Oryctolagus cuniculus: one gene and its partners. The protein of the gene in region 1 purifies or fractionates together with the protein of each later gene. This does not show direct contact. Links are inferred from orthologs where the notes say so. Each region holds a gene or a part of one and is shown on either strand. Other genes may lie near its edges.

Region 1 (3,647 bases):
GTGCTTTTCTCATTCTTTACTTTGGTCCCCTTTTCCATATATCAAACACTGTACAATAAGAAAATTTGCTCTGATCACTGATTTTTTTTATTATTATTATTATTTATTTTGCCAAGTTTGTGATTAGATTTTGAGTGATGGCTCCTGATTAGAAACTCAAATCTGGTTAGAGTTCAGGAATTTAAAAAATCAAATAACAGACTTTTCTTTTTGTAGTGACTTTTTTTTTTTTTTTTTTTTTTTTTTTTTTTTTGAGGAAACTTATAATTTATTGAAGGGCTCTTGAGTCATGGTCCCTGGTTACTATTATTGCCGGAGTGAATGAAATCCAGGGTATAAAGAAGAGGGTAAACAGAAATAGAATAAAAATGGAAAAGAATAAATACTAAGGACCAAATACATAGTACTTTATAAGAATTGGAGAAATAATTATTGAGAAATTTCCCATGAGTCCTCAAATTCTTTTTTTTTTTTTTTTTTTAACTTTTATTTAATGAATATACGTTTCCAAAGTACGAATAATGGATTACTATGGCTTCCCCCCCATACCGTCCCTCCCACCCACAACCCTCCCCTTTCCCACTCCCTCTCCCCTTCCATTCACATCAAGATTCATTTTCGATTATCTTAATATACAGAAGATCAGCTTAGTATACATTAAGTAAGGATTTCAACAGTTTGCTCCCACACAGAAACATAAAGTGAAAAATAATTGATGATTTTTTTTAATGATGATGAAATCAGATCAGACCTATTGTCATGTTTAATCCCAGTGAGAGTCAAGGTGGGAGTTGATAGTTTCTTTTCTTTTCTTTTCTTTTCTTTTTTTTTTTTTTTTTTTTTTTTACAGAGGATCAGTTTAGTATGCATTAAGTAAAGATTTCAACAGTTTGCACCCCCATAGAAACACAAAGTGCAATATATTATTTGAGTACTCGTTATAGCATTAAATCTCAATGCACAGCACATTAAGGACAGAGATCCTACATGAGGAGTAAGTGCACAGTGACTCCTGTTGTTGACTTTACCAATTGACACTCCTGTCTATGGCATCAGTAATCTCCCTATGCTCCAGTCATGAGTTTCCAAGACTATGGAAGCCCCTTGAGTTCTCCGACTCTTATCTTGTTTAGACAAGGTCATAGTCAAAGTGGAGGTTCTCTCCTCCCTTCAGAGAAAGGTACCTCCTTCTTTGAAGACCTGTTCTTTCCACTGAGATCTCACTCACAGAGATCTTTTGCCAGAGTGTCTTGGCTTTCCATGCCTGAAATACTCTCATGGGCTTTTCAGCCAGATCCGAGTGCCTTTAGGGCTGATTCTGAGGCCAGAGTGCTATTTAGGGCATCTGCCATTCTATGAGTCTGCTGAGTATCTCACTTCCCATGTTGTATCACTCTCCCCTTTATTTATTCTATCGGTTAGTGTTAGCAGGTACTAGACTTGCTTATGTGCTCCCTTTGACTCTTAGTCCTTTCATTATGATCAATTGCGAACTGAAATTGATCACTTGGACTAGTGAGATGGCATTGGTACATGCCACCTTGATGGGATTAAATTGGAGTCCCCTGGTATGTTTCTAACTCTACCATTTGGGGCAAGTCAGCTTGAGCATGTCCCAAATTATATATCTCTTCCCTCTCTTATTCCTACTCTTATGTTTAACAGGGATCACATTTCAGTTAAATTTCAACACTTAAGAATAACTGTGTATTAATTACAGAATTAAATCAGTCATATTAAGTAGAACAGACAAAAAAACTACTAAGAGGGATAATGTATTAAGTTGTTCATTAACAGTCAGGGCTATGCTGATCAAGTCACCGTTTCCCATAGTGTCCCTTTCACTTCAACAAGTTTCCTTTTTGGTGTTCAGTCAGTTGTCACCGATCAGGGAGAACATATGGTATTTGTCCCTTTGGGACTGGCTTATTTCACTCAGCATGATGTGTTCCAGATTCCTCCATTTTGTTGCAAATGACTGGATTTCGTTGTTTCTTATGTAGTGACATTTTTGATTGATTAATTTGTTTGGGCTACTTATAGGATAAACGTCTTGTCCCTGGAGGTGGAGCAACAGAGATCGAATTGGCCAAACAGATCACATCATATGGAGAGGTATAGCTTTTTCTGTATATCTTGACTGACTTTACATTACCTGAATAAAATGGCAATTATAATTGTTTTGTTTTAGACATGTCCTGGACTTGAACAATATGCTATAAAGAAGTTTGCTGAGGCGTTTGAAGCTATTCCCCGAGCTCTGGCAGAAAACTCAGGAGTTAAGGCCAATGAAGTAATCTCTAAACTCTATGCAGTCCATCAAGAAGGAAATAAAAATGTTGGATTAGACATTGAGGTATTTAAGGGAAAAAAAAACTATATATTATTGTTTTATTTTGTGAATGCTTAAACTAAAAATGGAAGCAGTAATAGAAATTTCAGTTTTTTTGAAAGGCAGAGACTGTTTTCAGTGGTTCACTCCCCACAAGCCCACAATAGTCAGGGATAGGCCAGGCAGAAGCCAGGAGCCCAGAATATAATTCACATGAGTGTCAGGGCCCCAAGTATTTGAAGTAGTAATTACTGCCTCCTAGGGTGAGCATTAGCTGGGAGCTGTATTAGAAATGTGGTAACTGGGACTTGAACCAGGCACTCCAATATGTAGTTACATATTATGTATATTTATCGTATATTTCTATTTTATGCACATTTATTTATTAATGTTTTCCATCTTAATGTTGAATTATTTGAGAGATAGCTAGCTCCCATCTGCCAGTTCATTCCCCCAGTTGCCTTCAACAGCCAATCACTTGATCCATCCCTGCTTCTCAAGGTCTTCCTTAGCTGGAAATGCAAACCAGGGCACACCAGTAAGGGAGGCAAGAGTATTAACCAGTAGGCCAAATGCCCACCCTTAGTTATTTTTTAGTACAGTTTAAAGAGCCATGAGGTTTTGTTATTGAGTGTAAGCAGTTTCACTTAATTTATAATGAAGGATGAAAATTGTTTTGTGTTAACAGGCTGAAGTTCCTGCTGTAAAAGACATGTTGGAAGCCGGTATTTTAGATACTTATCTAGGAAAATACTGGGCTATCAAACTGGCTACGAATGCTGCAGTCACTGTACTTAGAGTGGATCAGGTGAGCAAAAAGTGAAATTTAGATCTTTAAGCTAGTTTTTTATGGTTCAAGAGGAAATTTTCACAGAACTTGAATATAGCACAGTTCCAATTGTATTCAAAGGAGTACTTGTTTACCATCATATGTTAGAGATGTTAAAGTATCCTTGAAAAATGTCTTTTTTTTCCTATTAGCTTTAGAATGTATGAATATATTACAGCTAATTAAAAATGAAGCTGTCTGCAATATAAACCTTTTTAAATTGGTAAGGAATCTGTGGAATAAACCGAATTTAGATTCAGCTTTCAAGTTTGGCCTTAGAACCCCTTTGTACAAGTTATCTAGAGAGTTTAATTATATAATATTAAAGTGGAATATGGATGCAGGTATTGCAGACCACCTGTTTGTAGTTCATAATTATTTTTCACAAAGGTATTTTCTGATCATCTGTTTGTAAGTACTTAAAATTGCTGAGGGCATGGTTTATGTCCTTTAAGTGAAAATCATTCTGAATTAAACTTGAGAGAA
Region 2 (3,581 bases), on another chromosome or scaffold:
TAAGTCCCAGAATGGGGCCCCATTGGTTTGGCCCCTAATGTGGCAAGGTGGCAGTGGTGGAGCATGGAGAGCTGCTGTGGAAAAGGGTCCCATGGCCAGCCAGGAAGAGGCGTGGCTGGGCCCGACTCGACTTTTATAACCAGTCCTCTTGGAAAAACGACCTTCCAGGGGCCTACGGACTTCCCACTCACTGGACCTACCTTCTATACACCATAAGTGGTTTAAGTTTCCACCCTCCTAGTGCTATTATGAGTTTGGGATTTCAACAGCTGCATGAATTAGGAAGCCAGATCTTGTTCAGACCACTGCAGTTAGAGTGACTGCACGCCTTAGTGCCTGAGCAACCTGAAGGGTGGAGTTGCCACCAACTGAGATGAAGGCTTGGAGAGGAGCAGGTTTGCAGGAAGATGGAGACTCTGTTTGGGACATGTTAACTTTGAGAGTCTCACGGAACAAGTAGAGGGGCTAAGCAGGTGGTTGGGTGTGTTTTCAGAGAAGTGTGAGCTGGGGATGTGACTTTAGGAGTTGTGAGTGTACCGAAAACACACAAAGCCCCTAGGAGTAGTCACTGAGGGTGCAGGCATAGAAGCTGAGTCAAAGAATTGAACCCTGAGCACTTGTCATCAGCAGAAGGTTCACAGTGGGCACAGCTGTAGGGGCAGGAGGAGAACGGGGCCTCCTGGAAGCCAGGGGAGGCCGGGACGGCTTGGATCAGGTGCCGCTCGTCATCAGGGAATGAGGTTGTTGACCTGGATGAGAGTTTTGTTGGAGGCACAGCGAAAGCCAGGTTTGCTGTCAAGCAGGAGTGACAGTAAAAATGAGATGCTGATTTTATACCAGTTCATTACAAGAAAGGATAGAGTTGCCTGCCACACAGAAGACATGGCCAAGAAATACATGACGGTCACCTTTAACTCCAGGAAAGTGTGTGTGGGAAGGTCCCCTGCTGCCATCACCCCGACTCCTTGGGTAGTAGAATTGTTGATACACCTGCCGCTAGTGGATATGCCCGACCAGGGGACTTCGGGCTTTGTAAACCTGGGAGATTTCTCACCCATCCACTCACTGTGTGGGGGTGAGATGCTCCCGTCTGTAGGTGTCCGCACAGGTTTTTCTTTTTAAAACACCCCCCACGTCTTATTCACTAGTGAGATGTAAGTAATCTTTATGTTGGTGAGCTGGGGCCTGCTGGTATTGTGTGCTTACCTTTAGGAGAAAAGCGAAGGGGAATACCCAAAATGCATGTTTGTTCATCTTGAATTTTTGTTTTTTTTGCTTTGGCTGTTGTAACTAAATTCAGTGAAGACGTATGAAGATATGACATTGGAAGAACTGGAAGATAATGAAGACGAATTCAATGAAGAGGATGAACGTGCTATTGAAATGTACAGGTTAGTGCCACTCAGAGGGACCGTTTAGGTTTTTTGCGTGGTAATTTTTACCATACCGTAAAATGTGCATCCATTGTAAATTTACTTTTCTGGGGGCTGGTGTTGTGGCACAGTGGATGGAGCCACACTGCCTGTATTGCCAGCATCCCATATGAGTGGTAGTTAGAGTCCTGGCTGTTCCACTTCTGACTCAACTCCCCTGCTAATGCGCCTGGGAAGGCAGTGGAAGATGGCTATTTGTGTGTGTATTTGTGCATGCGTACATATGTGCATGTGTTAGAAGATATTTTCTCTGTCTGTTGTCCAGGCAGCAAAGACTGGCCGAGTGGAGAGCAACTCAAGAAAAGAATAAATTTGGAGAAGTTTTGGAGATTTCAGGAAAAGATTATGTCCAAGAAGTTACCAAAGCTGGTGAGGGCTTGTGGGTAATCTTGCACCTTTACAAACAAGGGTGAGCTGATCATCTTTTGTGTTCTAGAACATGTGAATTTTAATTTATATGTTGAATCCATATCAAGCTTATTCCATATTCTGGTATTTGTCGTTGTTTATTAGTGTTATGTGTTTTTGTTGCTCATTTACTAAAGCTTTAATGCCTAATTTTTATCTTGACTACCAAATTAATATCTGTGACTCAATGCAATTGTCTCTGTAAAAATATAGCAAAGAAGGGGCTGGCGTTGTGACATAGTGGGTTAAGCCTCCGCCTGCAACACCAGCATCCCAAATGGGTGCCAGTTTGAGACCCGGCTGCTCTGCTTCTGATTCAGCTCCCTGCCAATGCGCCTGGGAGAGCAGCAGAGGATGGCCTGGACGCTTGGACCCCTGCACGCATGTGGGAGACCCAGAAGCAGCACTGGGCCCCTTGCTTCAGCCTGGCCTAGCCCTGGCCGTTGTGACCATTTGGGGAGTGAACCAGAGATGGAAAACCTCTCTCTCTCCATCTTTCCTCCTCTATCCATAACTCTGCCTTTCAAATTAAAAAAAAAAAAAGTATAGTTGAAGAGTCAGTTTGCTTTCACTGAAAAGGAATTCCTGGGACTCCGGCAATTCCAAATTCTATAGTTCATGGTTCCTGCAGACAGAGAAGGTGACCTCCCAGCCATTGTCTGCCGTGTGGTGCTGAGGGCCTCCAGCCTCCCTCCACGCTCAGTCCTGCTCCTAACCTGTAGAGCCCAGTGCTTTTTGTGGCATTTCCTTAAAGCAGGAAATATGTTCTGGCCTGTTTCACACATTCTGCATCTTTGGTGTTCTCTCATTCGACCTTATGGAAGGCCATAGCAGTTGTCTTTTATGCTGACACTGTTTTCCTGAGCTGTTGTTGTATCAAATGAAATTGGACTTTGGGTTTCAAGTTCTTCACTTCACATGGACATATTAGGAAGTGCTGATTGGTCTTGGCCGGTAGTGGAATCACCAGTGCCTCTGCATTCTGTTTGTGTGTTCCAGGATTCCCCTCTGTGCCTTGATAAATCAGCACTTCAGCGCACTTGCCAGGAAGTTTCCTGATGTGAAGTTCATCAAAGCCATTTCAACAACCTGCATACCCAATTATCCAGATAGGAATCTGCCCACGGTATTCGTGTACCTGGAAGGCGAGATCAAGGCTCAGTTTGTTGGCCCACTGGTGTTCGGCGGCATGAACTTGACTCGAGATGGTAAGGGGCGTATGAGGGCCGGGGAGGGGGTTTTTCTGTTACTGAGAGTGCTTGTTTGCTGGCCGGGTGTTGCCATGTGGGCAGCTGTGCATTTGGTCTCCTGTCTTAGCAACTAGTTAGGAGCAGTCACAGCGGGGCTGCAGCAGTTCTCAAAGGAAGACACAGAGAACCTAGCTACATGTTTAACGTTAATGTCAAATATACTTTATTTGGCCCTGCAGCTAAATATTTTTTAAGTGTAGCCCAATATAACATTCATTTTTTGCTCACATCAACGTATTGTTGAAGACACATAGGAGTTCAGTCTAAAAAGTTTGTGGTATGATAAAATTAGAAGATAAATCTATTTTGGTGCAAAAAGATTTTTTGAGACCCTTGTATAGTTTTTCATAATACACATTTTTCATGAATTTTTTGAAGCCCTCATATGTATGTATATTTCTCTGTTGAAATATTTTCTCAGTTGAGTACCTTAGTAGCTTTTCAATTTAAACTTTATTTATTTTTGCCTGTAACTCTGGAAGGATTAAAA
Region 3 (3,747 bases), on another chromosome or scaffold:
CCCACGTGGGATGCGGGCGCTGCAGGCGCGTGTGAGCGGGAACGGAGGGCAGGGCTGTGGGCTGTGGGCGTCCCCGGGGGCAGCAGGGAGCCCAGGCGCACCCGCCGGGCAGGGAGCCTCTGCCCCGCACTCCCGCGGCCTCCCCACCTCTCCCTGCCCGTGTCAGCCCCCTCCCAGCCAACCCCGCCTCCCCGAGCTCTCCCTTTGCCCACACGATTGTGTAGCGGCCACGCAGCCACGCGGCCACGGGCACTCCCGCCTGCTCTGTCCCAGGACTGCCCCAGAGCGGGGCGGCCAGGAGTCCTGTCCCTCGTCCGTCCGGTCTCCCTGGCGCCTGGACGGGACCTGGGACAGCTACGAGAGGATATCTGGCCATGGCTTAAGAAAGATGCCTTAGGGGCCGGCGCTGTGGTCCAGCGGGTAAAGCCCCGGCCTGCAGTGCCATGTGGGAGCGGGTTCGAGTCCCGGCTGCTCCACTTCCCATCCAGCTCCCTGCTGTGGCCCGGGAAAGCAGTAGAAGATGGCCCCAGTGCTTGGGCCCCTGCACCCGCGTGGGAGACCCGGATGGAGCTCCTGGCTCCTGGCTCTGGATCAGCTCAGCTCCGGCCGTTGCGGCCAAGTGGGGAGTGACCCAGCGGATGGAAGACCTCTCCTCTCTCCAACTCTGCCTCTCTCTGTCTGTAACTCTACCTCTCAAATAAATTAAATCTTAAAAAAAAAAAAAGTTCTGTGAAAGGAGACCTACGGAGCCCCAGACCTTCCCTGTGCCGGGTCACTCCCCAGATGGCCACAGTGGCCTGGGCAGGAGCCTGGGACTCCCCGAGGTGGCCCTCGCTGGTGCAGGGGCCCCAGCAGGCGGGGTGGGGGGAGCAGGCAGCGGCTGAGGGCTGAGCACGGCCGGCCCCAGAGAAAGAGGCCGCCTGCAGGTGAGGGCCTGGGCCCCGGCGCCCTCACCGGCCCAGTACACGGCCCAGGGCAGCCTTGTGGGCTGTGCCCCAGTTCCTGGAGCTGCAGGTGGGCTCCCTGCGTGTTTGTTGATTGACTTAAGGATTGACTTAAAGACAGCGGGTGAGGAGGGGGGAACAGTGAGGCCGTGGGGGGCCAGCAACTGGCTCTGGTCCCAGCCCAGCCCCGCGTGAGCGCCCCTGGCCTGGCAGGTGTCCCCCTCCCCCCACCAAGGCCCTGACACCTGAGGCCAGGGCCGCCCACCCCGGACGCCCCCTGCCCTCGCGGCTGCTCCCGCTCCGGGCCTGGGCGTCTGTTTTCTCGGCTCTTCCGCTCCCGGCCTTGGCGGCGGGTGGGCGGGCGGGTAGGTGGGTGGGTGCGGGGCGCCAGCGTCCCCACCGGGCAGGGAGCAGAGAGGGGTCCCGGGGTTGCGGGTGGGAGGGCAAAGTTGTTGCGGGGCTGGCGGGGGCGGGGGCGCCGCGCCGCGCGGGCGGGGCGGGGGCGGCGGCGCCACCTTAAGCGGCTCTGCCCGCGGCTCCCGGCCGAGCCCCGCCGGAGGGAGGCGGCTCCGCGCGGGGCCCGCGCCGCCCGCGCCGCCACCGCCGCCGAAACCCGGCTGCGCCCGCGCCCCGACCTTCCGCGCCCCGCGCCGCCGCTCGTCCCCGCCACCCGGGCCGCTCGCGGGGGCGCCCGCCAGGGACTCCCGGGCGCTGCCCCGCGCGCTCTGTCGCCCTCCCGCTTTTTCCCCGGACCCCCCCCCCCAACCCGCCGCGGTCGCCCCGCGCCCCCTCCCCATATTGTCCGGCGCGGGGGGTGCGTCTCAGCGCTGCAGGATGTACCCCCAGGGCAGGCACCCGGTGAGTGGGGGGCCTCGGGCGGCGGCGGGGGAGTCCCCGGCGCCCGGGACCCTGACGTCCCCCCTGCCCTAACCCCTCCCCCAGACCCCGCTCCAGTCGGGCCAGCCCTTCAAGTTCTCCATCCTGGAGATCTGTGACCGCATCAAAGAGGAATTCCAGTTCCTGCAGGCACAGTACCACAGGTGCGGGGGAGGGGCGGGCAGGGGGCGCGGGGTGCACCTGGAGGGGCGGGGCCGGGCTGGGGAGGCAGGTGAGGTGCGGTGTGGGGGGGCTCTGAGGTCAGGGAGGGGTGGCGAGGAGGAGGGGAGACCCAGGCCGCACTTTGGAAACTGGCCCCCCCGCGGGGTGCTGGGGGACCCCGCACCCCGTGTCCTCGCAGTCTCAAGCTGGAGTGCGAGAAGCTGGCCAGCGAGAAGACGGAGATGCAGCGGCATTATGTCATGGTGAGCCCCCCCCCGCTCCTCGTCATGGTGAGGGCCCCCCCCCGCTCCTCATCATGGTGAGGCCCCCCCCCGCTCCTCGTCATGGTGAGGGCCCCCCCTCCTCGTCATGGTGAGGGCCCCCCCTCCTCGTCATGGTGAGGGTCTCCCCCTGCTCCTCGTCATGGTGAGGGCCCTCCCAGCTCCTCATCATGGTGAGGGTCCCCCCCCTCCTCGTCATGGTGAGGCCCCCCCAGCTCCTCGTCATGGTGAGGGTCCCCCCAGCTCCTCGTCATGGTGATGGACCCCCCAGCTCCTCATCATGGTGAGGGCCCTCCCAGCTCCTCATCATGGTGAGGGTCCCCCCCCTCCTCGTCATGGTGAGGGTCCCCCCCGCTCCTCGTCATGGTGAGGGTCCCCCCCACTCCTCATCATGGTGAGGGTCCCCCCCCAGCTCCTCGTCATGGTGAGGGCCCCCCCGGCTCTCGGCCTCCTCTCGCCCCCACCTGTGCCCTGGGCTGTCTCTCAGGGTCACTCCAGGGAGACCAGGGGGCACTGACCCCAGGCTGCCCCCTCCCCCACTCAGGGGGGTCTCTGCTGGGGGCCCTGTCCTGCTGTGCCCCTCCCCCAGCCTCGGGCTCCTGTAGACCCGGGTCCCTGAGCTGCTCTCTCCCCGGCCGGGGGCTCCTGTAGACCCGGGGTCCCTGAGCTGCCCTCTCCCCGGCCGGGGCTCCTGTAGACCCGGGTCCCTGAGCTGCTCTCTCCCCGGCCGGGGGCTCCTGTAGACCCGGGGTCCCTGAGCTGCCCTCTCCCCGGCCGGGGCTCCTGTAGACCCGGGGTCCCTGAGCTGCCCTCTCCCCGGCCGGGGGCCCCTGTAGACCCGGGTCCCTGAGCTGCCCTCTCCCCGGCCGGGGGCTCCTGTAGACCCGGGTCTGTGAGCTGCTCTCTCCCCGGCCGGGGGGCTCCTGTAGACCCGGGTCCCTGAGCTGCTCTCTCCCCGGCCGGGGGCTCCTGTAGACCCGGGGTCCCTGAGCTGCCGTCTCCCCGGCCGGGGGCTCCTGTAGACCCGGGGTCCCTGAGCTGCTCTCTCCCCGGCCGGGGGCCCCTGTAGACCCGGGTCCCTGAGCTGCCCTCTCCCCGGCCGGGGGCTCCTGTAGACCCGGGTCCGTGAGCTGCCCTCTCCCCGGCCGGGGGCTCCTGTAGACCCGGGTCCCTGAGCTGCTCTCTCCCCGGCCGGGGGCTCCTGTAGACCCGGGTCCCTGAGCTGCCCTCTCCCCGCAGTACTATGAGATGTCCTACGGCCTCAACATCGAGATGCACAAACAGGTGAGGGGGGGCTGGGAGCGGGGCTGGGGGCCGTGCCAGCCTCTCTCGGCTTCTGAGCCGGGCGGGCGGAGGGCAGGGTCCCGGCGTCCCCGTGGTTGAGGACGGCCGGGCCGGGGGCCGCGTGCACAGTCTCGGGCCTGCTGGGTCTGAGATGGCCCCCGAGACGCTGGTGCACTTCCGAGGTTCTGAGGTCGAGCCGG

Evidence for each region.
Region 2: the proteins of CCT8 (region 1) and PDCL3 purify together in Homo sapiens (affinity purification with mass spectrometry; 3 studies listed by BioGRID and IntAct, with this or other methods). This does not show direct contact. The link is inferred for Oryctolagus cuniculus from reciprocal best matches to the Homo sapiens genes CCT8 and PDCL3.
Region 3: the proteins of CCT8 (region 1) and TLE2 purify together in Homo sapiens (affinity purification with mass spectrometry; 3 studies listed by BioGRID and IntAct, with this or other methods). This does not show direct contact. The link is inferred for Oryctolagus cuniculus from reciprocal best matches to the Homo sapiens genes CCT8 and TLE2.

What each region holds. Positions count from the first base shown.
Region 1 is NC_091435.1:16,585,280-16,588,926, forward strand, and holds part of CCT8 (T-complex protein 1 subunit theta), read left to right. Parts: intron 1-2,043; coding exon 2,044-2,115; intron 2,116-2,191; coding exon 2,192-2,356; intron 2,357-3,020; coding exon 3,021-3,140; intron 3,141-3,647. UniProt on the Homo sapiens protein: Component of the chaperonin-containing T-complex (TRiC), a molecular chaperone complex that assists the folding of actin, tubulin and other proteins upon ATP hydrolysis.
Region 2 is NC_091433.1:108,022,875-108,026,455, reverse strand, and holds part of PDCL3 (phosducin-like protein 3), read left to right. Parts: intron 1-1,300; coding exon 1,301-1,391; intron 1,392-1,698; coding exon 1,699-1,842; intron 1,843-2,840; coding exon 2,841-3,049; intron 3,050-3,581. UniProt on the Homo sapiens protein: Acts as a chaperone for the angiogenic VEGF receptor KDR/VEGFR2, increasing its abundance by inhibiting its ubiquitination and degradation.
Region 3 is NC_091447.1:59,642,824-59,646,570, forward strand, and holds the start of TLE2 (transducin-like enhancer protein 2), read left to right. Parts: upstream 1-1,519; 5' UTR 1,520-1,778; coding exon 1,779-1,802; intron 1,803-1,886; coding exon 1,887-1,984; intron 1,985-2,181; coding exon 2,182-2,245; intron 2,246-3,502; coding exon 3,503-3,547; intron 3,548-3,747.